Linked DNA regions of Tamandua tetradactyla. The main gene of each other region encodes a partner of the protein of the gene in region 4 in a complex. Links are inferred from orthologs where the notes say so. Each region holds a gene or a part of one and is shown on either strand. Other genes may lie near its edges.

Region 1 (7,231 bases), on a different chromosome or scaffold from region 4:
AAATTACTGCTGCTGATCAGCAATGCAGTTACCTGGGCGCTGTACATTATCTGCTAAATCTGGCAACAGTCCGCAGCAGGTCTCTGAAGTGGGAAATCAAGCTCTTTCCTGAGAGTGAGCCCCTTCCCAAGCTGAGCCCTGCGCTGGCTGCCCCTCCAGCCTCGGCAGCAGCCAGAAGCCCCAAGCAAGCACCTCGAAGCACCTGACATCCCTGGGCTATGGGCCCGAGCAGCCAGGGTGCCCCCTCCTGTGGTACAGCGATGCACTGCCCCCAGCCCCCAGGGCCTCCAGAGCCTGCAGGGACCCCGGGAGGGGGACGCTGGGCTCTAGAGTGGAAAGGTGGGCATCATCCACCACCTAGAATGGGCATGGCTCAAGAAGCCCCCAGGAAGGCAGTGAGGACCTGAGATCATCAGGCCACGGCCCATGTGAGGGGGCAGAGAGGAAGCCCAAGTCCTCCCAAGCACCCTTCAACGGCTGCAGGCCCAACCTCCTCGGCCAGGACTGAGTGCTCAGCCACTGGCCATGGGAGACCCAAGCCAGCTCCTGGTACCCAAGGCGCTGTCCAGGCCCGTTGAGCTTAGGCCCCAGAAAGAGGACCAAGGAGGGACTGGGAAACAGAGCGGTGAACTGGAGCCCCAAGAAGCAGCTTCGCTCTGAGCTGAGGCACAGCTGGGCCCATCCATCTCTCAGTGGGTCCAAGCCAGGATCCCTGCACGAGGGAGGGCAAAGGCCAGCAGTGAGGAGGACACTCTCACCACCGACTCAGGAACACAATGGACATCCCCGTCCGCATGGTGGGGAAACCGAAGCCCAGGAAGGTATTGCCGTGGGCAGGCTGACCTGAAAGCCCCAGGGACCAGCCTGCACACTACAGGGGACACAAGCCAGGTGGCCACCTGCCGTCCCGGAGCCGTGTCTGTCCCTGACTGGACTCTGTCCAATAACCCAGGCCAGGAGAGCACCACTGGGTGCCTCCCCAGACTGGCAGCTGGCTCCAGGGGGCTTTCTGTACCTTGGGGGTGCCAGGCAGCCCCAGGACAGCCCAGGAAGGGCCCATCAGGGAGCACTAGCTGAGTGAGGGGCCATGGAACAGTTGGGACCTGAGCAGGTAGGGCTGTGGGAGGTCTGGGGAAGAGGCTCCACAGTGCTAGTGACCAGGACCCCGAGCAGCCTGGAGCTGGCAGACAGGACAATCCCGTGCCGCCCCCACCTCGCTGCCCCCTCCCCAGCCCCTCCCCAGAGCCGGGGGCTCCTTCAGCAAGCATAGACTGCAGGCCCCAGGTACGGGGTAGGCCCCACAAGAGAAGGGTAGTGGGGAGCAAGTAGGAGCTGCACACAAGGAACCCTGAGAGCCAGGGTGACCCGCAGCAGGACCGGGGCAGGAGACAGGCAGGGGCTGCTGGGGGGGCAGGCACGTGTACATGGGGATCTGCCAGGCCAGAGGCCATGGCTGGAGGTACACGAGTGGTCATCAGGCCCTAGGGGCCCATCAGAGCCGTGCGGATGGAGAGGGCTTCTCCTCTGCTGGTGCCTGGGGACCCTGTAGCTGGGCCCCCTCCTTGCAGGAGCTATAGAGGTCAGGGCAGCCCAGGGATTCCTCATAGCCTTGGACCACCCCAACACCCCAGAGCAGGGTGGGGGGCCACGGATAGTGCCAGACTAGTGGCACCCCATGCCAGAGGCACACAGGAGTGGGGGGATTTGGGGGGCAAGGAGCAGGGGTGCCTGCTTCCCACAATGATGCTCCCCAACCCAAGGCCAGTATGCTGGGGGCCCCAAAGGAGGGGATCCAAGAGGGGAGGCACACGCAGGTCCCAGAGACTGCTGCAGGAAGGGATGCATGGCGGAGGTGGAGGCAGGAGTCAAAGGGCCCCCAGAACCATAGAAGACCAGCATGGCGCCTCCAGAGTCCCCCACCCCCATCCCAAACTAGGGCAAGGACCCAGGCCTGAGGCTTCTCGGGCCAGGAGAAAGGAGGGATGGCCAGGAGGCCTCCTGGCCAAGCAGCCCTGATGCGCTGGGGTCAGCGGGAGGCACGGGAAAGTTAGGGGCCTAGGAGAGTGACCTGGAGGCAACACGCTGCCTGGGACCCCGCCTGGGTGGCCCCCTGCACACACCCCCAGGCGCCCTGGGTCTAGGCTGTGCAGGACACTCAGAGGCATGGGGTCTCCACTGCTAGAGGGAAGTCCGCTCCACAGGGCCCAGATGGGGACCCCTACCCCGAAACCCCTCTTCCTCTCCAGGGCCACTGCACACCACGTGCTCTTTGCTCGGGAGCACCAGCTCCCCCCCAGGCCCAGGCCCCCCCTGCCTCTCCAGGGCTCTGCCAACAGGCCACCCACACAGCCCCCAACAGGTGGGCAGAGCCCCCGCCTCCCTGGTGCCCAGCTCGGTCGCTGCCACCCACCAGGCCATCTCGGGCTGTGGTGGACACAGCCGGGTAGAGGGAGCCAAGCTGCTCATAAAGGAAGAGCGAGGGGGAAGGGGGCAAAGAGAGGGGTGTAGAAGAGAGGTGGGGGTTGCTGGGGGGGGGGGAGGCGCAGGATGGGCCGGCAGAGACGGCCTGCAGTGGGGGAGGGGTGCAGGGGGGAGGGAAGGGGACAGAAGTGGGCCGATGGGGGGTGGAGGGCAGTTCGGATGGGGCGAAGGATGAGGAGGGCCCGGTGGGGGAAGGGCTGGAGACGACCAGGGCGGAGAAGAGATGGGGAGACGGGCCAGGGGTGCAGGAGTCGGGCAGAGGTCCCGGGTCTTGGGGTGCGCGGAACCGAGGGTCGCGAGGCTGGGGGGTGCAGGGGCTGAGTGGGGGTGGGCGCGGGCCCGGCGCGCGGCCTGCCCGCGGCGCTGGCGGATAAAGGCCGGCGGGCGGCGGGCCTTACCTCCGACCCTGTACATGTTGGCGGCCATGTCCGGGCCGGCGGCGGCGGCGGGGCCGGCCGGGAGGGCGCGCTCGGGCGCGGCGCGGGCCTGGAAAATGGAGGCGCGGTGCGGGGGCGGGCGGGGGCCGCCGGCGGGCGGTTTAAAGGGGCCGCGCTGCTCCGCCGCCGCCGCCGCCGCCGCCGCCGAGGCCGCCGAGGCCGCGCAGGGACGGGAGGGCCGCGGCGCGGGCGGGAGAGGAAGAGGAGGAGCGGCGGGCGGGGAGGGGCCTCGGGCGCCGCCGCCCACCGCGCGGGCCGTTACCCGACCCCGCGCCCGCCGCCGCCCCGCGCGGCCCAGCCCCGCGCCCCCGCCTCGCGCCGCGGCCCTCCTCCCCGCACGCCCGAGCGGCCCCCGGCCGGGCCCCCACCTCCCCGCGCCCGCCCGCGTGCCCCGGCGGGACCCCGCGCGCGCCCCTCCCCCGCCGCCCGCCCCCGGGTCCCGGCGACGGCGCCGCTCCTGCCTCCCAGGCCGGCTCCCCCCACCCCCGGCTTCCCTGCTTTCTCTCCGGACAGCCCCCAGCCCTACTTAAGGCCCGCACCTCTCTGAGGCAGGGGGTGCTCCTCATCTGTCGCCCCTCCTCTGGGGCCTTGCCTCTTAGGGGGAAAGGGAGAGAGAGTGGGCGCACCGCCACTCAGCAAGCACCGAGGGCTCCGTGTTTCAGGGCACCTGCCTCCCTGGGGTCCGCGGGCCTCCCTGATGCAGGGATGGGGGTGCTGCGGGGGGGATGGGGGGTGGCGTGCGGGGCTGAGGGAGCAGGGAAGGCTGGGAACCACAGGCCCCTCTGTCTAAGGTCTGGAGCCAGCGCCCTCCTTTGCCTTCCCAGCCCTGGTCAGAGTCTGTAACTCTGCCCGTGCTTCTTTGGTTTAACCAGAGTTGAGTCCAGTGGCCCAGATTCCTTCAGCAAGGGGATGTGTGTGTGTGTGTGTGTGTGTGTGTGTGTGTGTCTGTCTGTCTGTCTGTCTGTAGGGGGCATGGATGGCTGAGAGGGACAGATGAGAGCAGGGCTGAGTTACGGTGAGAGCCAGGACAGAGAATGGGGGAGGGGAGAAGGATGTGTTGTGGGGAGAAGGTGTCCGGAATGGCTCCCCAGTGGCTGGTTTGAGTGACAGGGTGGGATGAGGGCTCTGGGGAGACTGGAAGGGTCCCCAAGGGAGAGTGGGCCCTGCACATGTGCTGAGGGGAAATGCCTGCACTGAGCAGGGGCTTCACCGCAGCCTTGGCTGTTTGGGGCTCAGTGGGGGCCACGGTGGATGAAACAGGGTGAGGAGGAGAGGAAGTGGGGCTTGAGGCTCCCATTCTCCCAGAAGCTTGGCTTAAAGGGCAGCAGCAGGGAGCTGGAACTTGCCTCGCATGTCAAAGGTCGGCCCTATGCTGGAAAAGGGGGGGGCGCACAGATAGACCCAGCCTCCTACCCAGGGGAAGACTGCAGGACCCCTGACCCCCTCCCCACAGGCCACGACCCCAACCCTTGTCAGGACTGGCAGAAAGCAGAGAGCCGACACAGCCCGGCTGTCAACGTGGGGACCTCTCCCAGAAACAGTAGCACAGAGCATTTTGTGGAGAAAAGAACTAGAGAGCAGACAGCTCGCAGCAAGCGAGACTCCAGGTTTACCCCGAGAAGTAAAGGGCACAGCCCTCCCAGAGGAGGGGCAGCCAGCAAGTCCTCAGAGCACAGCAAGCCCAGCAACTCTTCTCCACACAGCCTTTCCCGCTCCACACAAACGCAGAGGGGGGTTGGATATGGTCTCAGTTAGCCACAGCTGCTCTGACAAACAGCACCCAGTGGTGGCCTGAGCAAAGACTCATCGTCTGTGGGTTTGAAGGTCCAAATCCGGGTTTGCAGGCTGGGCCTCCCCAGAGCCTGGTATTCTGGGGCTAGCGCGCCACAGCCTCTGGGCTCCTTGGGTCTTGCCTCTGCCTCCATCCCACGGCAACGTCCTCTCATTTCTGCTGCCTTCTGGCCTCTGCCTGCTTCGGAATTTCCTCTCTTTAGAAAGTCACTACACGTGTAGATTAAGAGTAACCATGATGCAATCTGGCCACATCTTAACTAAAAATATCTTCAAAGGGTCCAACTTACAAATGTATTCACACCTAGACAGGCAAGTTTTACGATTAAGAAAGTGTCTTCTGTCAGGATACAGATTCCATCTAACACAGATACAATACCCTGTGCTTAAACTAGCTCAGAGGCAAGTAAAAGAGATCTCAGATAAGAAGTAAAGAAGGAGAAGTCATCCACTTCACAGCAGAGGAAGTAGACATTCAGGACTGGGCTGCTTATGCTGGAACAGGAATAAGACGTAAAGAAACAGCAGCCTCCAGTCCCATAATCCAAACAGCAACAGAAAGAAAGGAAGAAACTGAAGGAAGGAAGTGAGCGGCCATGAAGAACCCACTAGAGAAGAAAATACAACTGCAGAAACAGAAGAAAACTCCAGGGGAGCACTCCAGGTTCTCAGAGTTCATAAGAACACAAATTCAGTAGCGGGGACTCAAAGACCCGATGGCAAAACAGCAGAAGGAGCACGAGATGCAAGAGCCAAACAACCAAACTGGGGGCCAAAATAACAGCAGTGCTCGAGTGCATTATGGGGCAAGGGGTAGGATGGCAAAGTATTAACCGAGGAAGGGTTTTACAGGAAGAGGAAAGCCGTGATTTCTTCATTCAACTATTACCTGCTAAGCACCTACTTCAGTCCACATACCCCTGGAGATGCTGGGCAGAGTAAGGGAGGGCTGGGGGCCTGCACCCTGGTGCGGGGAGGGGACGGGATAATGGATAACATGTATTGGCATGCCTGTGATGCTATGTGCTTTGAAGGAAGAACTGGGGCAAGAGGACGAGGGAAGGAGAGAAGGGCAGTGTTCATGCTGAGGCCAGGGGGCCAGGGAACTAGGCAATGGGGCCGAGGGACAGCAGTTTTGCCTCGGGTGGGCTCTGAGTGACCTGAGCTGACCCCTAATGGATTCGATTTGCTAGTACTTTGTTGAGAATTTTTGCACCTATGTTCATTAAGAAGAATGGCCTGTAGTTTTCCCTTCTGATAGCATCTTTACCCGGTTTTGGTATTAAAATGGTATTCGCTTCATAAAATGAGTTACGTAGTGCTCCTTTTTCCTCAAGTTTTTGGAAAAGTTTGAGCAGGATTGGTGTTTGTTATTTTAGGAATGTTTGGTAAAATTCCCCTGTGAAGCCATCTGGCCCTGGGCTTTTCTTTGTAGGAAGATTTTTGATGATTGAATCTCTACTTGTGATTGGTTTGTTGAGATCTTCTATTTCTCCCTGAGTCAGTGTAGCTTGTTTGTGTGTTTCCAGGAATGTGTCCATTTCATCTAAGTTATCTAGTTTGTTGGCGTATAGTTGTTCATAGTGTCCTCTTATGATTTCTTTTATTTTTTCAGGGTCTCTGGTAATTCACCCCTTCTCATTTCTGATTTTGTTTATATGCATCCTCTCTCTTTTTTTCTTTGTCATTCTTGCTAGTGGGGCATCAATTTTACTGATTTTCTCAAAGAACCAACTTGTGGTTTTATTGATTCTTTATCTCTGCCTTAATCTTTGTTATTTCTCTTCTTCTATTTGCTTTGGAGTTAGTTTGCTGTTCTTTCTCAGGTACCTCCAGGTGAGCAGTTAAGTCCTCGATTTTTGCACTTTCTTGTTTTTTAATATGGGCATTTAGGGCAATAAATGCTTATATTCTCGTTTTCTTTCGTCTCCAGATAGATACTGTTTTCTCTAGCAATTTCTTCTGACCAACTGGTTGTTTAAGTGTGTTATTTAATCTCCATAAATTTCTGGATGTTCTTATTCTTTGGTGGTTATTGATATCCAACTTCATTCCATTGTGATTAGAGAAAAAGCTTTGAATAATTTCAGTGTTTTTACATTTATAAAGACCTGGTTTGTGCCCCAGCGTATGATTCCTGGAGAATGTTCCAGGAGCACTAGAGAAGAATGTATATCCTGGTGTTTTGGTGTGTAATGACCTATATATGTGTGTTAGGTCTAATTCATTTATCAAGTTGTTTAACTTCTATATTTCCTTGTTGATCTTCTGTCTGGTTGTTCTCTCTAAACAGGAGAGTGGTATATTGAAGTCTTCTACTATTATTGTTGAAACATCTGTCACTCCCTTCAGTTTTGCCAATGTCTGTCTTATATACTTTGGAGCTCCTTGATTGGGAGCATAAACATTTATGATTGTTATTTCTTCTTGGTGAATTGTCCCTTTTATTAATATTTAGGGTCCTTCTTTGTCTCTTATGATGTCTTTACATTTAAAGTCTATTTTGTCCGATATTATATTGC
Region 2 (7,939 bases), about 5.1 Mb from region 4:
TGTCACCAGCGGGAAATCTCACGTCCACTTCTGGAACTGGAGTGGTGGAACAGGGGTTTCTGGAAACGGGACCCTCACCCGGAAACAGGGTGTCTTTGGGGTGAGGTGTGGGTGGTGAAAGGTGGAGGGGGAGGACAGAGTGGAGATGGGCATGTCGGTCTGCGTCCTCTAATCCCCACCTGTCCCGTGACTTTTAGCTTTTGCCCTTCCCTTTGACCTCTGCTCTCTGCTCCCCCTCCCCCTCAGAAATACAAGAAACCCAAGTTTATCCCTTGCTTTGTGTTCCTTCCTGATGGTGACATTCTCACTGGGGACTCAGAGGGCAACATTCTCACATGGGGGCGGAGCCTCTCAGATTCCAAGCCCCCGGGCAGGGGCGGGGCCAAAGGTATGTGGTTGGGAGAGCAGCTGGGAAGGCCAGTAGCCCAGGGGGTCAGTGGGAACAGAGAAGAGAAGATTTCCCATCCTTTTCCCTTGAGAGTTGATAGTTGTGCATGGGATCTGGTGGGGGGCTCTCTGGAGGGACTGGTCTAGAAGGGTGGTGGGGAGAAGCATTGAGGCTTCAGCATCTGCCAGCTCTTGGGTTCAAATCCCAGTTGAGCCTTGGCCTTTAGGAAGTTCCCTCACTTGTCAGAGCCTCGGTTGCCCTGTCTGTAAAATGGGGAGAGTAATAGCCACGTTGGCTGTTCAGAGAATCAGAGGCGTTATTTAGTTGGCACAGGATAGCGGGGAGTTATTACCTTCTGTTGTGATGGCCTAGCGCCCCCCTCCCGCTCCCCATTTCCCTGCACCCCAAGAGCATGACCCATCCTGGGCTTTGCCAACAGAGACCTACGGGATTGTGGCCCAGGCCCATGCGCACGAGGGCTCCATCTTCGCTCTGTGTCTCCTGCGAGACGGGACGGTGCTGAGTGGTGGCGGGCGGGACCGCCGGCTGGTGCAGTGGGGGCCGGGGTTGGTGGCTCTCCAGGAGGCCGAGGTGAGGGCTGGCCCGGGGTCGAGCCAGGGAGCGGGGAGAGGGGTGGCCAGCCCAGGCGCCTGACTTTCTGCTGCCACCTCTGCAGATTCCTGAAGATTTTGGGGCCGTGCGGGCCATTGCTGAGGGGCCTGGCTCGGAGCTGCTGGTGGGAACAACGAAGAATGCATTGCTGAGGGGTGATCTGGCCCAGGGCTTCTCTCCTGTCATTCAGGTTGGGGGGTGGGGAGGGGAGGGCCCAGAGGAGGGAGGAGGGAAGACCTGTTGGAGCGGGGCAGAGGAGACAGTCCATGCCGCCCTGCAGGGCCACACCGATGAGCTCTGGGGGCTCTGCACGCATCCTTCCCAGAACCGCTTCCTCACCTGCGGCCATGACCGGCAGCTCTGCCTGTGGGATGGGGAGGCCCATGCACTGGCCTGGAGCATCGATCTCAAGGTAGAGCACCGGTCCCCTGGGTCCCGTGTCACACACCGCAGCTCTTGCGTCCAGCGTGGCTTCCCCCACGACCCCCTTTCCTTCTGCTCCTTGGAGGTGGCCAGTTGGTACTGGTATGGTTGGGATGCCTGTTCAAATATGAATTCCTCTGTATTGGTTGATAAAAGCCTTTGCCTCCAGTGCCCTCTAGGCATTGCCCTTTCTGATTGTGCTTCCCTTTGTCCGGCAACTAAAGGGTTAATCTCTGGCCCAGTTGGAAACCTAAGTTCTGATCATTAAATATTTTGAATATCAGCCCTGCCTCCACCCCAGGCTACCATCTCCTCCCCTGTCTTCTTGGGAGAAGGAGGAGGTTATCAAAAAGATAACCTGCCTAGAAGGGCAGCTTCTTGAATGAATTTTCCTTCTCCCCTCTCCCAGGAGACTGGTCTCTGTGCTGACTTCCACCCCAGTGGGGCAGTCGTGGCCGTAGGACTGAACACGGGGAGGTGAGAGGGAGCCAGGATTCCCGGGAGGGGAGAGAAGGGATGTATGGTAAGGGTTTCGGGTGGTGGGGGTAGTGGAGAGTGGCCTGGCAACTTCGCCCTTCCATGCTGCAGTCCTTCCCGCAGCCTGTGCTTCCCTGGCTCTCCTGTGCTAACTGCCCTCACCCCCTCTCCTCCAAACCTGGGACTGGAGGAGGTTGCAGCTCAGAAGAGCGAAACAGCGGGAATGGAAAGGGGAAGTGATCAGTTCCAGACCCACAAAGCCCTGTAGTCAGGTTCCTGGTGTGTAGTTCCTGACTTCTTTCTGAGACAGTATTATTGGAAGCCTCTCAGATTTTATCTGCCCTTAGCCCCTTCTCACCTCCCAGCCTAAGAATGCAGAGGCGACCTTTGTGCCTACAGAATGGGCTTTGAGGGGGCTTCTCAGAGGATCTCCAAATGGCCAATCCCTGCCGTACCCAGGGCAGCCTTCCTGGGGGTCTCCTGACCATCCCCTTCCCTCCCCCTGCCTTTTCCTCCCTTCCAGGTGGCTGGTTTTGGACACGGAGACCAGAGAGATTGTGTCTGACATCACTGATGGCAATGAGCAGCTCTCAGTGGTTCGGTACAGCCCAGGTGAGAGCCGCACCCCCCCCCCCCCCCCCCCCCCCCCCCCCCCCCCCCGCCCCAGACCCATACCGATATCTGGCCCCTTCCTCGCTGAACGACTGTCTTTGCAGACGGGATGTACTTGGCCATCGGTTCCCATGACAACATGATCTACATCTACAGCGTTTCCAGTGATGGTGCCAAGTCCAGCCGCTTTGGCCGTTGTGTGGTGAGGAAGCTGGGTTGGAGGTGGGGCACCACCACAGCAGGTGAACTCGCGAGCGTCTAATGCTTAAAGGGGTTCTGGGGATGGGGACGTGGTGGCTACATTTTTAACTTCTTGCCTTTTACTCCCAGGGCCACTCGAGCTTCATCACTCACCTTGACTGGTCCAAGGATGGGAACTTCATCATGTCTAATTCTGGAGACTATGAGATTCTTTACTGTGAGTAGCAGCAGGGGAGGATATGGGGAGAGGGTAATTGGGGTGGGTGTTATTTGTGGGGGACCCTTTCTGGCTAGGGAGGACGAAAGAGAATATGTGGGGAGTTGCAGATGAGTTTGTTAAAAAGGGAGGTGGAGATAGATGTTAGTTATACAAACAGGAGAAATTCATGTGATTTGGGACATCCCCCCTCCCCCTTATCTCCCTCCGCCCCTCCACCTCCCAGTTTAATACCAGGTCTTCCTTCACAAGGACTTGAAGGAAAATGCACACAGAAAAGATTCTTTTGGAAAGATTTATTAGGGCAGGTGTGGAGGGACTGAAGCTGTTAGAACTTCAGCAGAAACTCAGGAAGCACGCAGAGGCGGGTTTGTCTTTCCAACCTGCCCTTCCCCGGGCATCTTCCTGACTTGGCTTCTGCGCTGAGAGCAGGGAGAGAGCTGGGATGGTGGGTTCCCTCTCTCCAGGGGACGTGGCTGGAGGCTGCAAGCTGCTGCGGAACCGCTATGAGAGCCGAGATCGCGAGTGGGCCACCTACACCTGCGTGCTTGGCTTCCACGTTTACGGTGAGCAGGCGCGCGGGTTAGGGGTGGAACGGGAACAAGGGTGGGGGGACCAAGCCTAGCCCGCCTTGAGCTTGGAATGTTGTGTCCCGGGTGGGTGGATTTCAAGACACCGGCAGAGCCGACCCAGGAGGCCTCTCTGGCCCTGGAGACCCGGCAGGATCGCCTGGAACGCGGTCGGTGGGTGGCCACGGCGGCCGGAAACGGTAGAGCTCGGCGCTCTGCGCCTGGCGTGGGCGGCGGAGGGGAGGGGGCCGGGCTGAGGCCGGACGCTGTGCTAGGCGTGTGGCCCGACGGCTCGGACGGGACCGACATCAACTCCCTGTGCCGCTCCCACAACGAGCGCGTGGTGGCCGTGGCCGACGACTTCTGCAAAGTGCACCTCTTCCAGTACCCCTGCGCGCGCGCCAAGGTGAGGCCGCCAGGGGCCGCGGAGGCCGGGGGTGGGGGGGAGGCGGCGGGACCCGGGGGGGCGTCGCCGCCGCCGCAACTCCGCCCCCCTCCCGCGCAGTCGCCGAGTCGCGTGTACGGGGGCCACGGCAGCCACGTGACCAGCGTCCGGTTCACGCACGACGACTCGCACCTCGTCTCGCTGGGCGGCAAGGACGCCAGCATCTTCCAGTGGCGCGTGCAGGGCGCGGGGGGCGCGGGGCCGGCGCCTGCCACGCCCTCCCGAACCCCTTCCCTGTCCCCGGCCTCCTCCCTCGACGTCTGATAGCCGCCGGACTGGACCGACCGGCCCTTCGGTCTACCCGCCTCACCCGAAACCCCCAGGACCGGGGGCCGACCCTTCCCTTGACTTCGAGACATTCCCGATCGCGCATTTCCCTGGAGGGGGCGAACGACCCCTCCCGCACACACTGTAGAGACCCGCCGGCTGAGCCAGGCTGCCCCAGCCTGCTACTGTCTGCTGAGGGGCAATAAACCAAAAGCAAAGTCGCCTCCCGGTCCTTTTGTGGGGCGCGACTTGGGCGCCTCCGGGGCCCTGTGAAGGCGGGGATGGAGGCGAAGAAGAGAGCGGAAAGGGTAAGGGAGCGTAGACCATTTATGCAAATAAGAGGCAAAGCCTTTGGCAAATAACCCCAGGGAGCGCGGAGCTGAGCGAGGCTGTCGGGGCCGGAGGGGGCGCTGCCGGGCCCGGCGCGGAGAGAGTTAAAAGCCCAACTCCTCAAGGAGGGGCCGAGTTACAACGGAAATAACCGAGCGCCGGACCGCGATTGGCCGAAAGGAGCCGAACCTTTTCCGGAAGTAGCCGATCTGTGGGGTCTCACTCTCCGACCTGAGCCGAGCGCTGGGCCTTGTTCTCCGGCTCGGCCGAAGGTGTTCCGGAAGGAGGCGAATCACGAAGCGGGCAGGGCTAGCCTTCCCCACGGCCGGCAGAGCCTAACGTCTAGTGGGGGTCAGCGAGGGCGGGGGGGGGCGGGGGGTGAGCGCGACCCAGGCTCCGGTACGGCAAGAGCCGAACCCGTTCCGGAAGAAGCCGAGCGGAGTGGTCCGGCGCCGGCCTCGGCGTCCCGGGCGTGAGGCGGTAGCGGCGGCGACGGCGACATCGCCAGCGCGGGCCGGGATGAACCGCGACGGCTGAGGCGGCGGAGGCGCCGGCTGCGCGAACCCGACCGAGACTCCAGCGAAGCGCCAGACCCGCGCTCGGGGCTTTGCCTCGAGCCGAGCCCTGTCCCCGCGAGCCTCCCGGACCCCTTTGTGCGGCCGGAGGCGGCGGCGGGAACGGCCATGGCGGCCAACATGTACCGGGTGGGGGGTGAGTACCCGGCGCGGAGGGTGCGGGGCTCGGGATCCAAGGGGCTCGGCACCTGGCGGCGCGGGGAGCCGCGTCTGGGGCAGCATGGACCGGAGCGCGGACCGGAACCGGAACCGGGAGCATCTGGGGCGAGGGTGCGGGACGGCGGCGCGGGCAGGCGCGGAGACTCGCGGAGAGGCTGCGGGCAGCCCCGACGGCGCCTCGGGGCGGGGGCGAGGGGCAGGGCGGAAATCTCACCCAGCCCGGGGACTCGGGCTTGGGAAATTGGCTCCCAAGGAGCTGACAGGGCGGTCAGGAGGCGCGAAAGGCCTGGCTGACGGCTTTCCCTTCCACGGGGGAAACCCAGGAAAGGAGGGAGGTCTCCCCCCCACCCTCGGCGTTATTGTGCGCTTCGGTTCGGAGGCTGCGCTAGAGTGAACAATTGTTCACTTCCCCTAGACTGGTGTGCAACTTCGTCGCTGAGTGGTGGGGACTGTTGGGGAAGGTGGGGACTGTTGGGGAACCCTTGCTTGTCTTTCCCCTAAGGCTTACTTTTGAGCGAAAGATCTGACTTTGAACTAGGTGCAACGGAGGTGGGGGGTGGGGGTGGGTGGCTGTCCCTAGTTCCTCTTAGACTCTCCACTTCCACCTCTGAGTTCTCAACACCTGAACCCCCTGTCTCCTTTTGGTCCGCTCAGGCCGACTTTTTCTTTCTCCCATCCTGCCGCTTGGCTCTCTGATCTCCTCTGATCTTCCCTACTCTACCCGTCTACCTCTACAGATTACGTCTATTTTGAGAACTCCTCCAGCAATCCTTACCTTGTTAGACGGATTGAGGAGCTCAACAAGGTGAGTGGAGCAGAGTCATCCCCCTTTCCTTCGTACAGGTAATAGTCTCTTACTTCGGAGGTCTCTAACTTCAGGTGGATAGAGAGGTCTCTATCCTAAGTACTCATTCACATTCATCCATCCATTCATTCATTTAGTGCGCAAGACTTCTACAGTGCCTAGTGGAAACTTTACTGTTCTATCTTTTGAAGGCTAAGGAAAGGGATTTGGAAGTCTGTCCTTGAATGAAAGTGTCTTTATTCGTAATCTCTTGGGCCTTTCTCCTTAAGATCACTTAGAAACGTGATCACTTAGAAACGTAGTAACTGTTGTTAGTCTCATCTTTGTGCGTTTCCACTTTCCAATGAACAGTCTTCATTGCCGTTTTTCCCCCCTTTAGACTGCAAATGGAAATGTGGAGGCAAAGGTTGTCTGTCTTTTCCGGCGAAGGGACATTTCTAGTAGCCTCAACAGCCTGGCTGATAGTAATGCCAGTAAGTGTCTTTGCCCTCACCTCCCACCTGTCTCCCTCTCCCCACGCGCTGAGGCCTGGGCATGTCCCTGCTGGTGTTTCCCCTGGTATCATGCCCAAGGCAGGATTGTGAGTTTGGGGGTGGCAAAAGCCTGCTCTGTGGACGGAGGCCTGTTTTTACACGTTGGGAGGAAGCAGGGTGAAGAGCCCATGATAAGAGAAGTCAGAATATGGTGCACATGTGTGCGCGTGCCTCTGTGAGAAAGAGAGGCCATAGTATTTAAATAATAGGGGATGAGGAAGAGCTTTGGAGAACCAGGACTCTTGGCAGGGACAGTTTTGGGTACTTGGGACAATGGCTGTGACTGAAGAGGAAGAGATTTTATTTACAAGCCTGCAGAACAGAAAAGTGGGCTTATTTGTTGAGAATACATTGGAGGGAGAGAATAGGAAGCTAGGAGGAAGGAAGATAACAGGGAAAGGTTTTTTGCACTTTTCTTCTTTCTCTCTCCTTCCTTTCCTCCCCTCCCCCATTTTATACTTTCCCTTTTTCCCATTTCCCTTACCTTCCTTCTCTAAACTTTCATCCTTTAAAAAAATAGACCTTCAGTTTTCCTTAGCTTCTTTTTTCCCCTCTCCTTGTTTTTTTTGCCCTTTCCTCCTTCCTTCCTCCTAAATTAATTTTTTTTTTTTTTAGGCTGCTTTGGGCATAAAGGGGTTAAGGAGGAGCTGGGCTCACCAAGTTCCCTGGTCCCTTTGGGGTTTCCAGCCCCATCTGGCAAGGGCTGACCTTGGCCTTGTCCAATCAGAAGGGGCGTGGGGGGTGTGGTTCCCCTTGCCTGAGCGCTGGGTTTCCGGAGCACACAGGCGCTGGGCGGAGCCTGCTGCACTCCCCCTTCTCCTTGAGGTTGGGAACAATGCACCAATGAGCCGGGGCCTGAGGATCTCCTGCCCCTCCCCTTTTGGTTGGCACTCAGTCAGGTTAACCCTTCCACTAAGGTTTCAGGGGAAACTGCAGCTCCGTGGAGAGGAGGCTGTTTGCACTGGTTTAAAAGGTGCTATCCTTGAAAGCACCACAAACTATTATTAGCCAAGTAGAAAGTGAGGGATAGTTGTGGTTCCTTGTGATGATTTGGAGCAGAGTCCTGAAATCTGTAAAGAGGAAGTGATAAGCACAACCTTGTGTGGTATGTTTTTTATCCTATTGGGTTCCTGGACCTCAGGCTGGTTTAGCAAGAAACAGACAAGTGTGATGTTCTTGCTGGGCCTGGTGTGGGCAGAATTTGTGCTTTATAAGCAGTATGTAAGCATTGGCAGTAGGGTATGGGGTAAATTTCTGTGCCTTTCTTTGTATTCCCAGCAGCTTTTCTTTAAGAGCATTAGTGATGAAGGGTTTTAAGCATCTGCA
Region 3 (7,169 bases), on a different chromosome or scaffold from region 4:
TACTAAGTGTAGACAGACAAAGAAAACAAGCACAATAAATAAGTATATCTGCAGGTGATATAAATGATATCAAAACAAGAACAAAGTACAGGGGATGGTCCTGAAATGGGTACATGTGGGGTAAAGCCAAGAGCCCAATGTGTCTGGAACAGAATGAACAAGAAGAGAGCAGCAACAGTGGGAGGTGAGAGAGGGACAGGGCACAGCCAGAAAATACACGGTCTCAAAGGCCAACATTTCTGTTGGAATCTTAAATTTCTAATTAAACTAATATGGTAAACATCATGACTTCACATCAATAACATAAGACAAATAGATCAAAATTACACTCTGACAGTTCCCCTCAACAAACTGATCTAAATCTGGGGCCATTCTGCTCACTTAGAGTTGGTCTGAATTTTTTAAATGCAAAGTCCCTGGAGGTACTCCCAGAAGTAAGACAATGTTTCAAGCCTTTTTAAGCCAAGAATGACTTAAGGCCTGACTTCCTGGGACCAACTCTCAGTTGTTATTTTTTGAGGGACCATAATAGATAGACAGCCCCAGAGATTTTACACTATGAATTCTCATAAGCCACACAAATAACTCTTAAAAGCGGTCTGGAGGAAACCAGATGACTAGAAATCTATGGTCCGTGTAGGTTATGACTGCTTTTGGGTTTCTCCATTATAAAAGCTCATTTACCACAGTCACGATGCTTCTGATGTTGAGATCAGAGTGTGAACACCTGTGATAAGAGCTGATCTCAGTGTAAAAGTTTTATTTTACTTTACATTACACCAAAACTCTATTTAGAATATTAGTTAGCCTAGTCCAGAATTTTACAAATTCCCTTCATTACAATATTGTTTTCCAGCTTCCTCTGTCTAAGCTAGAAGGGGAAAAAATTAATTCACAAAAAAAGGGAGAGAAAGACAACTTGTTTCTGTAAAAATAAAAAGGAACTTCCTGAGTTACAGAGTGACCTAATCTTTGAGAGGCTCTGAGCAATTTAAAGAAACTTGTATACATTTTATATATGTCCAAAAACAATATTTAATATTAACCAAAATGGGTACTTACAAAAAAGCAAAACAGTACTCGTAATCCTGTATCTGAATCCTCTAATCTGAAACCTCAACTTTCAAAAGGTGTGGGAATGAAAGTAAAATCAGCCTTGTGCCCTTTAGCCAATTTTCCTTCAATGGAAAAAAGTATTTTTTAATATTAATATAAAGAACGCTCAATATATACCTTATTGAGTTCTTCTATCCTTCTGATTAGGTATGGGTTGCTGGAGGAATTCTCAAAGTAGACATAATCTGTAATTAAAGGAAGAGTTTAATCTTTCCAATAGAAAGTTCACATTTGTCAATCTATGACTTCCCTTAGCAGACAATTCACATTCAACATGAGGCACCTAATTCTTCCACTGATAAAAGCAAACTTAGTAAAGAAACCCTAATACATTCCTTCATGTGCCCACTAATCACAGGCCCTCATTTTCCTGGAATTTTCATCTCAATTACAGTTTTTATCAAGTTTTCCTAGACTTTTGCCCTGCACATGTCATTTTTTTAAATAACAAAAAGACACCTCTCACACTCATCGCTGTCAGGGCTCACTGAATAAGAGTCTGAGTCCTTTAACTGCTTCCACATCTTTTCCCTCCAATGCCATCTGCCCTGGAATATGCGTCTCACATAAAACTGATGACCTAAGACAAATTCAGTCGTGAAAGGTTTAGCAGCCCAGCCTACATTTCAATCACCAACTTTTAAAAACATCAATCAGGTGAGCAGAGCAGGTAAGAGGAAGCACACTGACAAACTTTTCCACAGCTGAACCTGGGAAGGTGGAAAAGAAGTGGGGGAGGGAGTCACTTTCAGAGAGGCAGAGAGCTCTGGGTGTAACATCAGAATCCTTTCTACCCTACCCTATTTAATACAGATCCACTCAGGGTTTCGTTATTTAAATAAAATTTAAAAATCACTGCAAGCTTTCAACAGAAAGGATAAAAATCTCCAAGAGTGGCTTTTCCTCATTTAATAAGCTCCTTGGAAACTTCTCACAGTGGGTTAAGAGGCCGGGCTGCATTGTCGTTGTGTTTTCTTGGTGGCTTTATCCCACCTAGCTTCTGCAAAGTGGCCTCATTTAGCCAGGCCATTCCCACCACCCTCCGTCAGGAAGAGCGGCTAATGCAGAGAAGAGCAAGTCTCACACACAAACACGCCACTTATCTGAATTATTATTTTACCAGGAAAGAGGGAGGAGGGCGTCGTGAGTAGGGAGAAAGTTTGTTTGACCTTATTTCTCTCTTCTGCAGAAGGCTGAGAAGGAGGCAGACAGCAGAGCAAACGTCCAGGCAGAACTCAATTCCCCACCTCTGGCTGCGGTTCCCTGGCCCCACCAAGCCCCATTCTTGGGGGGCTAGACAAGAAATGAAAGGGGGAGTGAAGCAGGGAAGGTGCAGGGCCCTGCCCCTACGGCCAGGCCTGTCAGCTGTGCCTCTAGCTGGGTCCCCATAGCCGACCCCCCCCATTCCCACTGAAGGGGAAGAGTGGGGGGGGGTCCTCCATCCTCCACCCCCACAGCCTAGAAGCCACGCGAGGAAGAAGCCACCCTGTTAAGAGGCTTCATGGCCCCTACCCCCTTGAGGGTTTCATGGGGGTTGGGGGGGTGTTTCTGATCATTCATAGCCAAACAGAGGCCTGGCCCTAAAAATCTGGGAGGAGAGTGAGATACTGGAGGGGCAGGGCCGGTGCAGGCCACGGGAGGGGGGGAGAAGAGGTGGGTGGGGGTGGGGAGCCCCGGCCCCCTCTGCGGGCCCCGGCGCCCCCCCCGCCCCCCACGCCCTCAGCCCGGGCACCCAAGACTCCCGGCGATTAGGGTGAATTCGCCCCGACCCCCCCCCCCCCCGGAGCCCGTTCCCAGACCGGCCGGGTCGGGCCGAGCCTTCCTACCTCCGACCCGGTACATGTTGGCCGCCATGTCCGCCCGCCCGCCCGCGGAGCCCGAGCCGAGCCCCGCCCGCCGCCGCCGCTGCCTCTGCCTCAGCCTCGCTCGCCGCCGCTGCCTCGCCGCGGGGGGGAGGGGAGGGAGGGAGCGAGGGGAGGGGGAAATGAAGGGGAGGGGACGCCGAGGGGTGGGGGCAGGTGCCCGCCCCCAGCGCCGGGCGAGCGACGCCGCGTGGGCCGGGCCGGGGGAAGCCCGAGGAAGCCGGAGAGCGGCGGGGCCAGCAGGGAAGGGGGCCGGGGGGTGGGGCTTGGTGGAAGTGGGGGTCCTAGGATAAGGGCCCGGGCCGCCGCGAAGGCGCGGACTCGGAAATGTGGAACCCGAGCTGTTAGAGAACTGGGATGGGGGCAGGGGCTCCGTCTCTCCGAAGCGCCGGCCGTCCCACCCAGGGCGCCCACCACCTGCCGGCCCCGAGACAGGTCCCCCTTTCCTGCTTCTGGCCCTGGGGAGCCCCAGCCTGTGTATCTGAAAAAAAGTGTGACCTTCATGCTTGAGCTTCTGTCTCAGTGCAAACACTTGGATGCAAATAATTGCACGGAGGAGGGCGTCTTCCACGAGGTGGTGTGGAGGACCTGTAGGTCCGGGAGCATCCCAGGTGCTTCCAATAGAACAAGTCAGCGATTAAGGTGGGGATGAGGCTAAAGAAACTGACTTCCTTAGGAGGCCACCCTAATTGCATTACAGGTCTATTAGTATTCACCCCCGAACTAGGCTGAACCCAACCCATTCTCCCACACCTGGAGACCTGCCTTCAGGGAAGCCCTATATACAGTGTGCCCTTCTGGGAGAAGACCCTTAGGGAAAGGGGACTTCCTTGGTCCCTAGGCAAGCAGCCCTGTAATTCAGTGTCACCTTATTGTGTTGATGGAGAGTAACTGGTTATGTGTCTACAGCTTTCAAATGGTTACATTTCCCCATGCAGATTGTCTAGACAACCCCTGTTTTCACAGCCTTCGTACCCTTGCAGAAACAAAAAAAACCAGATCGAGTTGAATCTTAGCTGGCTATTCTCCAAACGGACACAACTTTCTTGAGAGAAGCCCATCCATTCCTAATAAGTCCCAGACATGGTTGTATAATAAACATGATGATTCCTTACTGTTGTGGGTTCTTTGGAGTTTCTGGTGAGATGTACAGCTGTGTATTGCTGACTCTGGCTCTGAGGTCTGTGCTTAGATGGGAGGTGTCCCTAGAAAAGAAAAGAAGTTTGTGTTTTGGTTGTCTGGCATTTGTGATGGTTCCTCATCACAAATTATTGAGGTGAACAAAATAATTTTCTGGAGAGCTCAGGCAAAGTTAAAATTAAAAAAAGAAAAAAAAAAAGCCTGAATTACATGGATTGTAATTCATGGATTGACTGATGACCTAAATTTCCTCATCTACAAAGACAGACACTAATTTCACTTCACAGAGTTTGAGGATTGGCTCTGATGATATGTGAAAATACTTTGTAAACTGTACTGCATAGAGAACTATGCAAGTAACAGGTGTCAGTTGCTTTTAACACCTGAAAGTTTCAGATTCCCAAGGATTTTATGCTATGTGTCAATTCTGAGTCTGTGTCAGCTCTTCTGACCCAGAGACAAATGCATATGTGCTCCGTGATTCATATTGCATATCTGCTGTTTATCATAATCATTTTACTGGAAACCCCACCAAAAACATATGATGACATATCAAACATCACTCACTCCATTAATGAACTGACACATAAATAGGCTGAATAATTTGCCTACAGTCACATAGTAAAATGGCAACAATACTGGGATTATAACTCAGTCCTTTCCTCTGGACTAGAATTCTCTGAACCCAGAAGCGTTTCTCTAAGTCAAAAGGCCACCTGAAAACCATAAACTGAGGGAGATGGAGAGGAATGGATCACAAGCCCAAACTGGCTTAAAGGTTTTTCCTTTTTTTTTTTTTTAATAAATGAGCAATTTCTCCCTCTTCAAAATGTTTCTGTATTTTTGTTACTTCCTTGTCTGCCTGTTTCATTTCCTCAGCTTTGTGCTCCTTACCAGGTGTTTGTGATGACTATATTAACCACAATAAATGTGTGATAGGTGCCAAAAATACTCCCTAATGCACACCCACACCCACCTCCTCTCCTTAGGAACAGCCTTATTCACAAAGACCCCAAGAAAGCCTCAGAGGCCTGGGATGGGGTGTAGGGAGCAGAGTGTAGGGGGTAAGGTGGCAGGGCCTGGAGCCCTTCTTTCCTCTGCATTTCATCAACTTAGCTTCTTCCACCTCCAGCTCCTGGCCCAGTGTCTTCTGTATAATATGTGCTCTTTAGTCAATGAATGATGGGACTCAGTTTAGAGAATCAGGTGCAGAGTTGAATGCAAAGACTTTGTGCACAGATTTTTTTTATACTTCTAGTGCCAAACAGAGAGGTATACACATAAGAGAGTTCATGAAATGTTTGTAGATTGAAAGAAACCCTCTAACTGGGCAAAGAAAGATAGAAAAGCCTGCACTTCCAAGAAAGCAAAGGCCTCTCTCCCTTCTTAGACCCCATAGTTTAGATTGCAAACTTGTCATTAATGACAGCCCCAACTTCCCTCCTGGCTTGGCTGTTTTGCTGTAAGACCTTGAGCAAATTACTTAACCCCTCTGAGCCTCAAGCTCTACAAAATATGACTAGTGGTTGAAACCTACCACAAAGAGTTGTGGTAAAAATTAAATGCATGAAGTGATTGGCATATGTCAAGACCTTCATACTTGTTAGTTTCTTTCTCTCTCTTCTACCCAGTCTCATCACCAAAATAGAGGTGTCTCTCAGACTATGCCAGAAATTCCCCAGGACAACCTCCCCCTTACACTGCCCCCACACACACACACACACATCATAGGTACAATTTCCTTTGTATGACTGTTGTGATTAAGGAGACATGTGTAAGAGAATGCCTGAAGTTACCAGGATGTTCCATGTGTCAATCTTCAGGTCCCACCATTCAGATGAAGAGAAGTGGTGGCTGCAGGAAAGTTATAAATGGAATGGAGAGTTGGCTTTGTTGCAATTTAGGAAAGGAGTTTTATACATGAAAAAAAAAAATGGCAACAAATAGCCAGCCTGGGAACTTTGTGAAATTGAACCCAGGAAAGGAGCCTGGGGGTCTAGAATATAATTAATCTGAAAGCAGAGGCCAGGTTTTGGATAAGAGTCTAAACCTTGTTTGTGTTTTCTATGATTTGTTCTCCACCACTACTCCCCACCTTTTTTTTTATTAACTTATTTTGTTGCCTACTAGAATTCCCTTGGAAAAGGCCTGCCTGTAGCTGCTATTCTGAGGATCTGGGTTTTGAAGGCAAAAGAATATATCCCAGGAAAAAGGTATGCATGCAATAGCAAGAATCAAAGCAAGGGGACCTTGAAGAAAAGGAAAACAGAGTCAGGAGTTTCACAGCTTCTCCTGTTGTGGATTATCTCCTTCCATCAATCCCCCATGCTAAAAACATGAAACCCAGGACAAATCCCAGCCAGTCCTAGTTTGGGGGAGTGTGTGGTTTCTGATTCCAGGGTTCCCTCATGCCATCAAAAGGAAATTAGCTTAGCCATTTGATTGCACCCATGTGGAGTTTCCCTCTCTAGCAACAGCAACACCTCCAGGTAGTGGAAAAGGGACTAGAAGCCACAACAGGGCACAAGGACAAGCTCTGAGGTGGTTCATCTAATTGACCTAGTGTTTTCCTTTTTTAGTCTATGGAGTACTGTGGATTTGAATGAGAGATGGCTAAGCACTAGAGGGTGTGGGATCAGGAAAAAGAATTCTAAGGGACTATGGGAAGTGTTGATAGGCTATAACAAAGAATGAGTGTTGGGGTGACTCAGGCTGCAGCACAGAGTGGACTGGAGAGGAGAGTGAGGGCAGGCTGAGAGGTCAGTTGGGAGTTGGTCAGAAGGTAGGTTGGCCTGGTCTATGGAGGAGACAGTGAAAGGTGAAAGAAGTAGATGTGTTTGAGCAAGATTTAGGAGGGGGCTAAGCTCTGATCGCTTTCGGGAGGTGTGGAGTGAAAGGTGGTGCCATGGCTTATGGGCAACTTGGGTGGAGAGGGTGTAATTCAGTGAGTAAAGAATACAAGAGGAGGAGCATGTTGCCAGGAGTGTAGTTAAAGGATTCAGTGTTGGCCTGATGTGTTTGAAGTGCCTTTGGAAAGATCCAGGTAGAATT
Region 4 (7,710 bases):
CAGCTCTGGCCACAGGGGCAATCTCGCAGTTGGCTCCTATCGCCCCTTGTCATGCCCCCCCCCCATTGGGTGTGCATTTTGCTTTTGTTTGAGCACTTTTTTACTTTCTGCCATTATAAGATACTCCAAGCCTATCTTGTCTATTTCCTGCCCCAGTCTAAGAATCAGCCATATCTCCAGAGAACGCTGGTCCTTCTACTGGAGAATGGTCTTAGAAACCAAGATCTGGGTGCTGTAGGTGCTTGTTGCTACTGGGGTGTGGTTTCCTACATGTGTATGGTACATGTAATACAATTCCATTCTTTTGTCACATTCTGCATTCCATTCTGGGATCCCCCATCTCCTAACAGATTTTTAAATTTCACATAGATTAAATTTCACTCTATGCTGTAAGGTTCAATGGGTTTTGAGAAATGTTTACTGTCTTGTATTCACCATTGCAATATCTATCATACAGAATAGTTTTACTGCCCTAAAGAGGCTCCTCTGCTTCACCCATTCAACCCTTCCCCCACCCAAAACCCCCAGCAACCACTAATCTGTTTACCATCTCTATGATTTTGTCTTTTACAGAATGTCATATAATTGGAACCATGCACTATGTCCTTTTTTTCAGATTGGTTCCTTCAATACCAATATGCACTTACGATTCATTCTTGTCTTTGTGTGGCTTGATTAGCTCATTTCTTTTTATTGTTTGGTAGTATTTTTTTCCTTTATTAGGGAAATTATGCATTTATAGAACAATAGTGTATAAAATACAGGATTCCTATGGACGGTGTGACAGTGGCTCAGTGTCAGAATTTTCATCTGCCATCCCAGAAATCTAGGTTTGATTCCTGGTGCCTGCCTATGCAAAAAAAAATATATATATAGGATTCCTATACACCACCCTGTTAACATCTTGTATTGGTGTGGAGCAGTTGTTATAACTGATGCTAGAACATTTTTATAATTGTAGTATTCACTGTAGTCCATGCTTTCACATACGGTTCACTGTTCGGGTAGTGTCAGTCCATGGATTCTTTTTTTTTAATTTTCATTGTCACATATATGAAGTTTAACATCTCCCCTTTCAAATCACATATTTCAGTGCTGTTAATCACATTCACAGGGTGTGTTACCATTACCACCAAACTGAGTAGTATTTCACTGAATGGATGCAACACAGTTTATTTATTCACCTATTGGAGGAAATCTTGGTTCTTCCAGTTTTTGGTGATCATGAATAAAGCCGGTATAAACTTTTGCATGCAGATTATCACGGGGACATAAGCTTTCAAATCATACAATTGCTGGATCATATGATAAGATTATGCTTAGTTTTGTAAGAAGCTGCCAAGTTGTCTTCCAGAGTAGCTGCACCACTTTGCGTTCCCACCAGCAACAAATGAGAGTTCCTGTGGCTCTGCAAACTCACCAAGAGTTGGTATTATGTTTTATGGATTTTAACCATTCTTAAGGTATCATGGTATCTCACTGCTTCATCAACTTATTTTTCCTCATTTTATTACAAGATTTTTCAAACATAATAAAACCAAAAAAACTGTACAGAAATACAATGTTGAGTTTTATAGTCACAAGGTAAGGCAACAAACTCATCTGCTGGCTGGACTGAGCCTGGGGGCTTGTTTTCAGTGTCTGGTTTGGAGGCTATAATGCTGCAAGGCTCCAAATTGCAGAGGGTGAGCTAGGAGCCTGGGGTCTGAGTGGAGAGGGGACTCCCTGAAAAGTTCCTCCAAGACCACGCCACAGAGGTCTGTGCTATCTTCCCCCCAGGGTAGGAGTGTCCCTACCAAAATTGTCATCTCTGACCTCCTCAGGGAACTCTGTGCTCCTTCTGCTATGGCCCAAGGAAGAAGGATTTGGAAAACTGCTTGAGGGCAAGGTTCAGCCCTGCAGTCACCTCCTGGCATGTCCCTCCTGCCAGACACCGGCAGTGGAGAAAACGGGAAAGCCTAGGCTTTGGGAGAAGAGGCAGAGCTACTGGCCCCTCAGTGGCCCCCTCCCCCTATCCCTGCAGAACTCCTTCAGAGCACAGCCTCTGTGCCACTGGCAGGCTGGGGAGGCTCTTGGGTGATACATGATCAACACTTTTTATTTCTATAGTCAGATACTTAGTTTGAATATGAATTACAGAAGAACTTGGCTAGTCTTTGTAATTAGTCCCTGGGAGATACCCACTAACTCTTTGGGATTTCCCCTAATAGGACTGTCATTTGCTATTCCTGCTGGGCCCCAGCCTACACCTCCGAGCATACATTAACAAGATGACTCAAGGTGGGGCCAGGCGCACCTGCGGCTTTATTACGGGGGTCACCGAGGTGATTAGAGGATTGGGCTTTGAGCCAGACCTCTGCAGGTTAGAGGGCGGCAGCTGGAGACCAAATTCACCCACCTGAACCTTGATTCCATCAATCATGCCTTAAAGTGTCAAAGTACACAGAGGCAATTAGAAAACCTTATTAAACCTTATTTGGGTAACAAAGGATTAGCGAATCAGGCAGCACCAAACCAAAAGTGTAAGGAGGGAGTGGAAAGGGGAAGCTTATATAGGGCACAGGTGGAAGCAAGTGAGACGTTCTGATTGGCTGACATTGTTAGCATTTTATATGGGGGGGTCTTACAAAAGTGGGGAGCAGATAGTCATGGATTAGTATGGTATGCCTGTACATTCTGATAAATTCTCTCTACTGGACAGAAACTGGTTTATCACCAGGTGTTGCTTACCTGCAATCCTGCAAGATACCTTTCCTCATTCCATTTTCTCGGAAAGCCCCTGCAGGTCAATTGTTTTATCTCTGAAAATCCTTTCTTGGAAAGGGTCCCCTCCTGGCAACACCCAATGCAGGCGGCCATTTAATTTTACTTAACCTAAGTAATGAAACTCTGAAAAAAACTCTGGCCAGTGAAGCTCAAGTGAGCTTCCCTGCCTGACAAGACTCTGTTGTGCAAGGCGAGTGATGTGTCCTGACTCCACAGGGAGAGGACGTGAGCGCTTTGGCATCTGGCGACCTCCCAGACTTTATCCTATGTGTCTCTTATTTGTATCTTTTCCACTATAATAAAATTGTAATTGTAGCATTTTCCTGAGTTCTGTCAGTCCTTCCAACAAAAGGTAGAACCTGTTGTCAGAACCCCTGAATTTGTAGCCAGTTGGCCCAAGTGCAGGGGTCCCTGGAACCCCTGAACATGTGGCTGGTGTCTGAATTGCCACCTTGGGGAAGATTGTGCTCTTGGGCTGTGAAGTCTCATCTGACTTCGGATAGTTAAGTCAGAACTGCATTGTAATTAGAAAACTATGAAGTACACTGAGCTCATAACTAAACTGATATGATTCCTTTTCCTTTTAAATTTTTTTAAAAAGTGAATTGATACAAAGGAAATATTAAGTAGATGATGAGACTTGAAAATGTTTCACAAAGACTAGAACAGATGTTCAACACAATGAATAATAGACGGTTATATGGGGAAAATGCACCTGCTGCAAACTTCGGACTATAGTTAACTGTAATATTTTAATACTCTTTCATCAACATTGACAAATGTACTACACCAACACTATGGGTCAATAATATGGGATGATACAGAGTATGGGAGGATTAGGGTTTTCTTTTTATTTTCTGTAGTAAAGAAAATGTTCTAAATTTGCTTATGCGGATGAATGCAGTGTTAACCAGTGACTGTACACTTAGGATGGTATCTATGTTGTGTGACTATATTTCAATAAACCGGCATTTAAAAAATATTTCACAAAGGACTGAAGTTAGAAAAACATTGGGTACAGATTAAATTCCAACTTCCTTACATGTTTGCCACCTGAGATTCCTCTATCATTACAGCCCTGCCCTTGCTTCCCAATTATCCCCACAGCAAAAAGAAATGACTTGTCCAATCACTTGTGCTTCCAAACTCTCAATCCTTTCCATGTGCCAGGCCCTCTACCTGGAGCACCCCCCTCCTTCTCTGCTCCCACCACCCACCTTGGGGTCTTAGCTCAAATGCCACATCCTCTGGGAAAGCTTCTGTGAGGTCACCAGGTAGGCCCCTTCCCCTTGGCTCCAATGCTCCAAGGTCTGGGCTTCACCGTGGCCACTCCCTTAGTGTTGTCTGTGCCTCTGCTTTCCTATCTGCTCCTCTTAAGACTAGGAGCTCCTTGAGGACAGAGTCTGCAGCTGGTTCGTCTCTGTATCCTCAGAGTCCAGTGCAAGGTCCGGATAGGGAAGGGATTCAGGAAATGTTTGTTGGATGAGTGCATGAACACATGTCCCGGAGATGAGGGAAAACCTACAGACCTAGGGGCGTGACATGTACACCAGGCCAGACAGGTTTTGGGTGGAAGGAGACTGGGAAAAACAGGAAGGGGGGTGGGAGGGTCTGAGACTTGGGGTTTGTGATAGATGAGATTTGAGTGGGGTCGCGTAAGGTAATGAAAATGTTTTGAGGCGCTTAAATGGGATAGGGATAAAGGAACAAGAAGAATAAAATCGTAAAAGCAATACAAATATTCATTGAACCCACACAATAACTCCGAGAGGTAGTTTTCATGACTCCCCCACCCCCGTCCCATTTCACCGACAGGCACAGGAGATGAGCGACTTGGTCAAAGGGAAACTGCTAGTAGGGAAGGTGCTGAGATTCGAACCAGGCAGTGACTGCACTCGGTCCTGTCAGTCACTCCTCTGGTTCAGAGCCTGGCACGCAGAAAGTGATTAAGGAGGGGTTACCTGTGACTGCTGCTGTCATTATCTGCGGCAGAGGCGTGGGGGCTGGGGGGCGGGTCGCGGGGTCTACGGGTCGTCCTTACACCGACCACCTACGGACGAGCCAATCCCAGGAAGAGCCGCGGGTCGCGGCGTTGGTGCTGGACTCGTTGCCATGGAAACAAAGGGCGGCAGCAAGCGAGCGCATGCGCAGATTGGGGAACGGGTGTTCAACCGGCGAAAGGTGACGTAAAAGCGCATGGGGTGGGGCGGAGGAGCCGGGACGTCAAAGCCCTGCGTCCTTCGGCATCCGGAGAGGAGAGGCGCGCTCGGCGGCGGCGATAGCGGCCCCAGGTGGACCGAGTCTCGGCCGGAGACCCGGAGGCGTGAGGTTGACGTGCGAAGCGGCGCGGGAGAGGCGGGCGGACAGCGCCCGCGCCCGGGAGGAGCCACTCGACGCGAACCGCGGCGGCCCAGACCCGGGTCCCGGTTCCCGAGGCCCCGCCCCTGGGGCCGTGGGACTAATCGGATTGAGAGCGCGCTGGCCCGGGCCGCGAACTCGCCAGTTGCGGAGGGCGCCGCTCACTACCCAATCCGAGGCAGACAGGTGCGAGGTCCGGAAGGCGGCGGCCAATCGGCAGCGGTTGCGACCTGTGGGGGCCGGTCTCGGCCAATAAGGAGGCTCGAGTGACATCTTGGCGCGCCAATCGGGAGTGAGGGAGCGGTCGCGCCCGCCCGCCCTTCCGGCCCGAGCTCTATTTACCCGGGGCGTGCAGCCCACTTGCCAATCAGAGCGCGGCCGAGCGGCCGGGCAGCCAACCCCGGAGGAGCCGCCGGCCGGCGTCCGCCAGCACCCAGGAGTTTGGGATGTCCTACAAGCCCATCGCCCCCGCCCCCAGCAGCACCCCCGGTTCCAGCACCCCCGGGCCCGGCACCCCGGTCCCTACAGGTGAGGACCCAGCACCACCCCTGCTCGCCTCCCCGGCCGGTCGAGGTCTCGAAGACAAGACGGCCTGCGTTCTGCCATGCTGGCGCCGCCGCCTACCTTCCCGCGAGCCTCAGTTTCCCGGCCTGTGAAGTAGGCGTGGTCACGTAAGGGCTTGTAGGTGGAGCGCAGGGGGAGGGGTTTGTCCCTGAAGTTGAGCGGCCTGGAATGAAGTTGTCCCCTTGGAGGGATTCGGGCGAGCCCGGTCGGGAGCTTGAAACGCTGGGAGGAGGCGTCCCCGCCCCGCGCTGACCGCTGACCTCTGACCTCTTACTCGCGCGTGTTGCAGCCGGCAGTGTTCCGTCGCCGTCGGGCTCGGTCCCGGGAGCCGCAGCCCCCTTCAGACCACTGTTTAACGACTTTGGACCGCCCTCCATGGGCTACGTGCAGGTGAGTGCGGCCGAGGGTGGGCCTGGGGGTGGGGGGCTGGAAGCCCACCCTGGTTGGATCTCACTGCCTTGTTCCCTTTTGGCTCAGGCGATGAAGCCCCCCGGTGCCCAGGGCTCCCAGAGCACCTACACGGATCTGCTGTCGGTCATAGAGGAGATGGGCAAAGAGATCCGACCCACCTATGCTGGCAGCAAGAGCGCCATGGAGCGCCTGAAGAGAGGTAAGCGAGGCGGGGCCCACCCTGCCCTGCCCAGGAGAGGACACGGGGCAAGCCTCCTTCCTTAGGACAGGAAGGGCTACCGAGGCCACCCAATCCAAGCTCAGCACCCATCTCATTACCCAGAGAGGCATTCTGAAATGAATGGAATTGAACTGAAATCAAGTCCATTTCGAGGGAGGGACCTGAGAACTCCTATTTTACCAGGGTGAATTTGAGGATTGGCCAAACCTCTAATCTCATCCAGCTTGTCGTTATAGACTTCAATCCCTCTTACTGAAGGGCAGAGGGTGGGGAGCCAGTCTTCCTCTGGAGGGTGGGGGTGCAATTGGAGCGTCTCCGGGGCCTGGTGTTACTTCCCCGCCCCCACCCCAGGCATCATCCATGCCCGGGCCCTAGTCAGAGAGTGCCTGGCTGAGACAGAGCGGAACGCCCGCACGTAACAAGAAGCACCTCGTCTCGGCGTCTGGACCTTTCCTGGCCACCGCAGAGCACCTGCTTCTTCCTGGCCTTCACCCTGAGTTGCACTTCCCATCCTGGGCTTCCTGTCCCGTGTCCCGTGGTGGGAGCCCTCTGGGAGGCAGGAGGCAGCTCCCACTCCAGTCAGCAGCACTAGCTGGGGCCCCTGGACTAGTTAGCAGTGAGGTCACTTGTGAGGCCCACCCATGACCTGCTAACCAGGTTGATCCAGCGGGAGCTTTCCCCTTCCTGGGGCCCCCCCACTTCCCCAGCACTGAGAACCACGTTGTCCCTGCCCCCCTTCTCCCCACAGCAGGCCTTAAGAAGGCCTGTCGACTCCCTACCTTGACTCCTGGGCTATAGCGACTTTTCTCAATGTGTCTTTTGCTAAATAAGCCCTTTTTGTATAAATAAAAAGTGATTTGGAGTTGTTCTCTCAGCTCTGAGCCTTTCTGGGTCCAGTTCTTCTAAGCCTAGGGGAGCCTGACAGCAGGGAAAGAGGAGACCTGGGGTTGAGAGGAAGTGCAGGGGTGGGGGGGTGGGTTGAGGCTGAGGCTGGCTAAACTTGGCCTTGCCTCTGCTGCCCATTGCTCCCTGGGTGGGGCCTGGTCCCAGGCCTCAGACCCTCAGCCTTGTCTGTCTACTCTTAGGGGACAGATTTGAGTTCCAGGAACGGAGAGCCCTGCCTATGCCTTCGCACTGTGCCGCCAGGGGGCAGCACAGGGCCTTGGCTGCCTCCACAGCTGGAGGGCACTGCCTGCCAGCCTGGGCCTGGAGCGTCCTGCCCCTGGAGTGTCCTGCCCCTGGGTGGAAATGCCAGTTCACCAAAGCCTCTCCTCCACAGGCCTTAGTGCCAAAATGTCCTCAACTACCCTGAATCCATCTTTGACTCTTCAGCGTGGGAGGTGGGAGTGGAAAGTATTCCTGCTTCCTTTCCCCAGCGCCGCCTTCCTGGG

The links.
Region 1: CDK2AP2 (region 4) and MTA1 share a complex: the UniProt entries of both Homo sapiens proteins name them as parts of the nucleosome remodeling and deacetylase (NuRD) repressor complex. The link is inferred for Tamandua tetradactyla from reciprocal best matches to the Homo sapiens genes CDK2AP2 and MTA1.
Region 2: CDK2AP2 (region 4) and MTA2 share a complex: the UniProt entries of both Homo sapiens proteins name them as parts of the nucleosome remodeling and deacetylase (NuRD) repressor complex. The link is inferred for Tamandua tetradactyla from reciprocal best matches to the Homo sapiens genes CDK2AP2 and MTA2.
Region 3: CDK2AP2 (region 4) and MTA3 share a complex: the UniProt entries of both Homo sapiens proteins name them as parts of the nucleosome remodeling and deacetylase (NuRD) repressor complex. The link is inferred for Tamandua tetradactyla from reciprocal best matches to the Homo sapiens genes CDK2AP2 and MTA3.

What each region holds. Positions count from the first base shown.
Region 1 is NC_135340.1:87,212,802-87,220,032, forward strand, and holds the start of MTA1 (metastasis-associated protein MTA1), read right to left. Parts: upstream 3,006-7,231; 5' UTR 2,908-3,005; coding exon 2,880-2,907; intron 1-2,879. UniProt on the Homo sapiens protein: Transcriptional coregulator which can act as both a transcriptional corepressor and coactivator. Acts as a component of the histone deacetylase NuRD complex which participates in the remodeling of chromatin.
Region 2 is NC_135335.1:11,958,176-11,966,114, forward strand, and holds the start of MTA2 (metastasis-associated protein MTA2), read left to right. Parts: upstream 1-4,931; 5' UTR 4,932-5,224; coding exon 5,225-5,252; intron 5,253-6,012; coding exon 6,013-6,080; exon of another isoform or gene 6,081-6,459; coding exon 6,460-6,553; intron 6,554-7,939. Other genes in the region: EML3 (echinoderm microtubule-associated protein-like 3), read left to right, coding at 1-100, 247-388, 828-979, 1,065-1,190, 1,281-1,412, 1,833-1,900, 2,424-2,512, 2,617-2,714 and 4 more. UniProt on the Homo sapiens protein: May function as a transcriptional coregulator. Acts as a component of the histone deacetylase NuRD complex which participates in the remodeling of chromatin.
Region 3 is NC_135343.1:14,118,469-14,125,637, reverse strand, and holds the start of MTA3 (metastasis-associated protein MTA3), read right to left. Parts: upstream 3,017-7,169; 5' UTR 2,971-3,016; coding exon 2,943-2,970; intron 2,410-2,942; exon of another isoform or gene 2,286-2,409; intron 2,256-2,285; exon of another isoform or gene 2,237-2,255; intron 1,302-2,236; coding exon 1,234-1,301; intron 1-1,233. UniProt on the Homo sapiens protein: Acts as a component of the histone deacetylase NuRD complex which participates in the remodeling of chromatin.
Region 4 is NC_135335.1:6,904,359-6,912,068, forward strand, and holds CDK2AP2 (cyclin-dependent kinase 2-associated protein 2), read left to right. Parts: upstream 1-4,967; 5' UTR 4,968-5,570; coding exon 5,571-5,652; intron 5,653-5,659; exon of another isoform or gene 5,660-5,795; intron 5,796-5,977; coding exon 5,978-6,078; intron 6,079-6,165; coding exon 6,166-6,298; intron 6,299-6,670; coding exon 6,671-6,738; 3' UTR 6,739-7,193; downstream 7,194-7,710. UniProt on the Homo sapiens protein: Acts as a component of the histone deacetylase NuRD complex which participates in the remodeling of chromatin.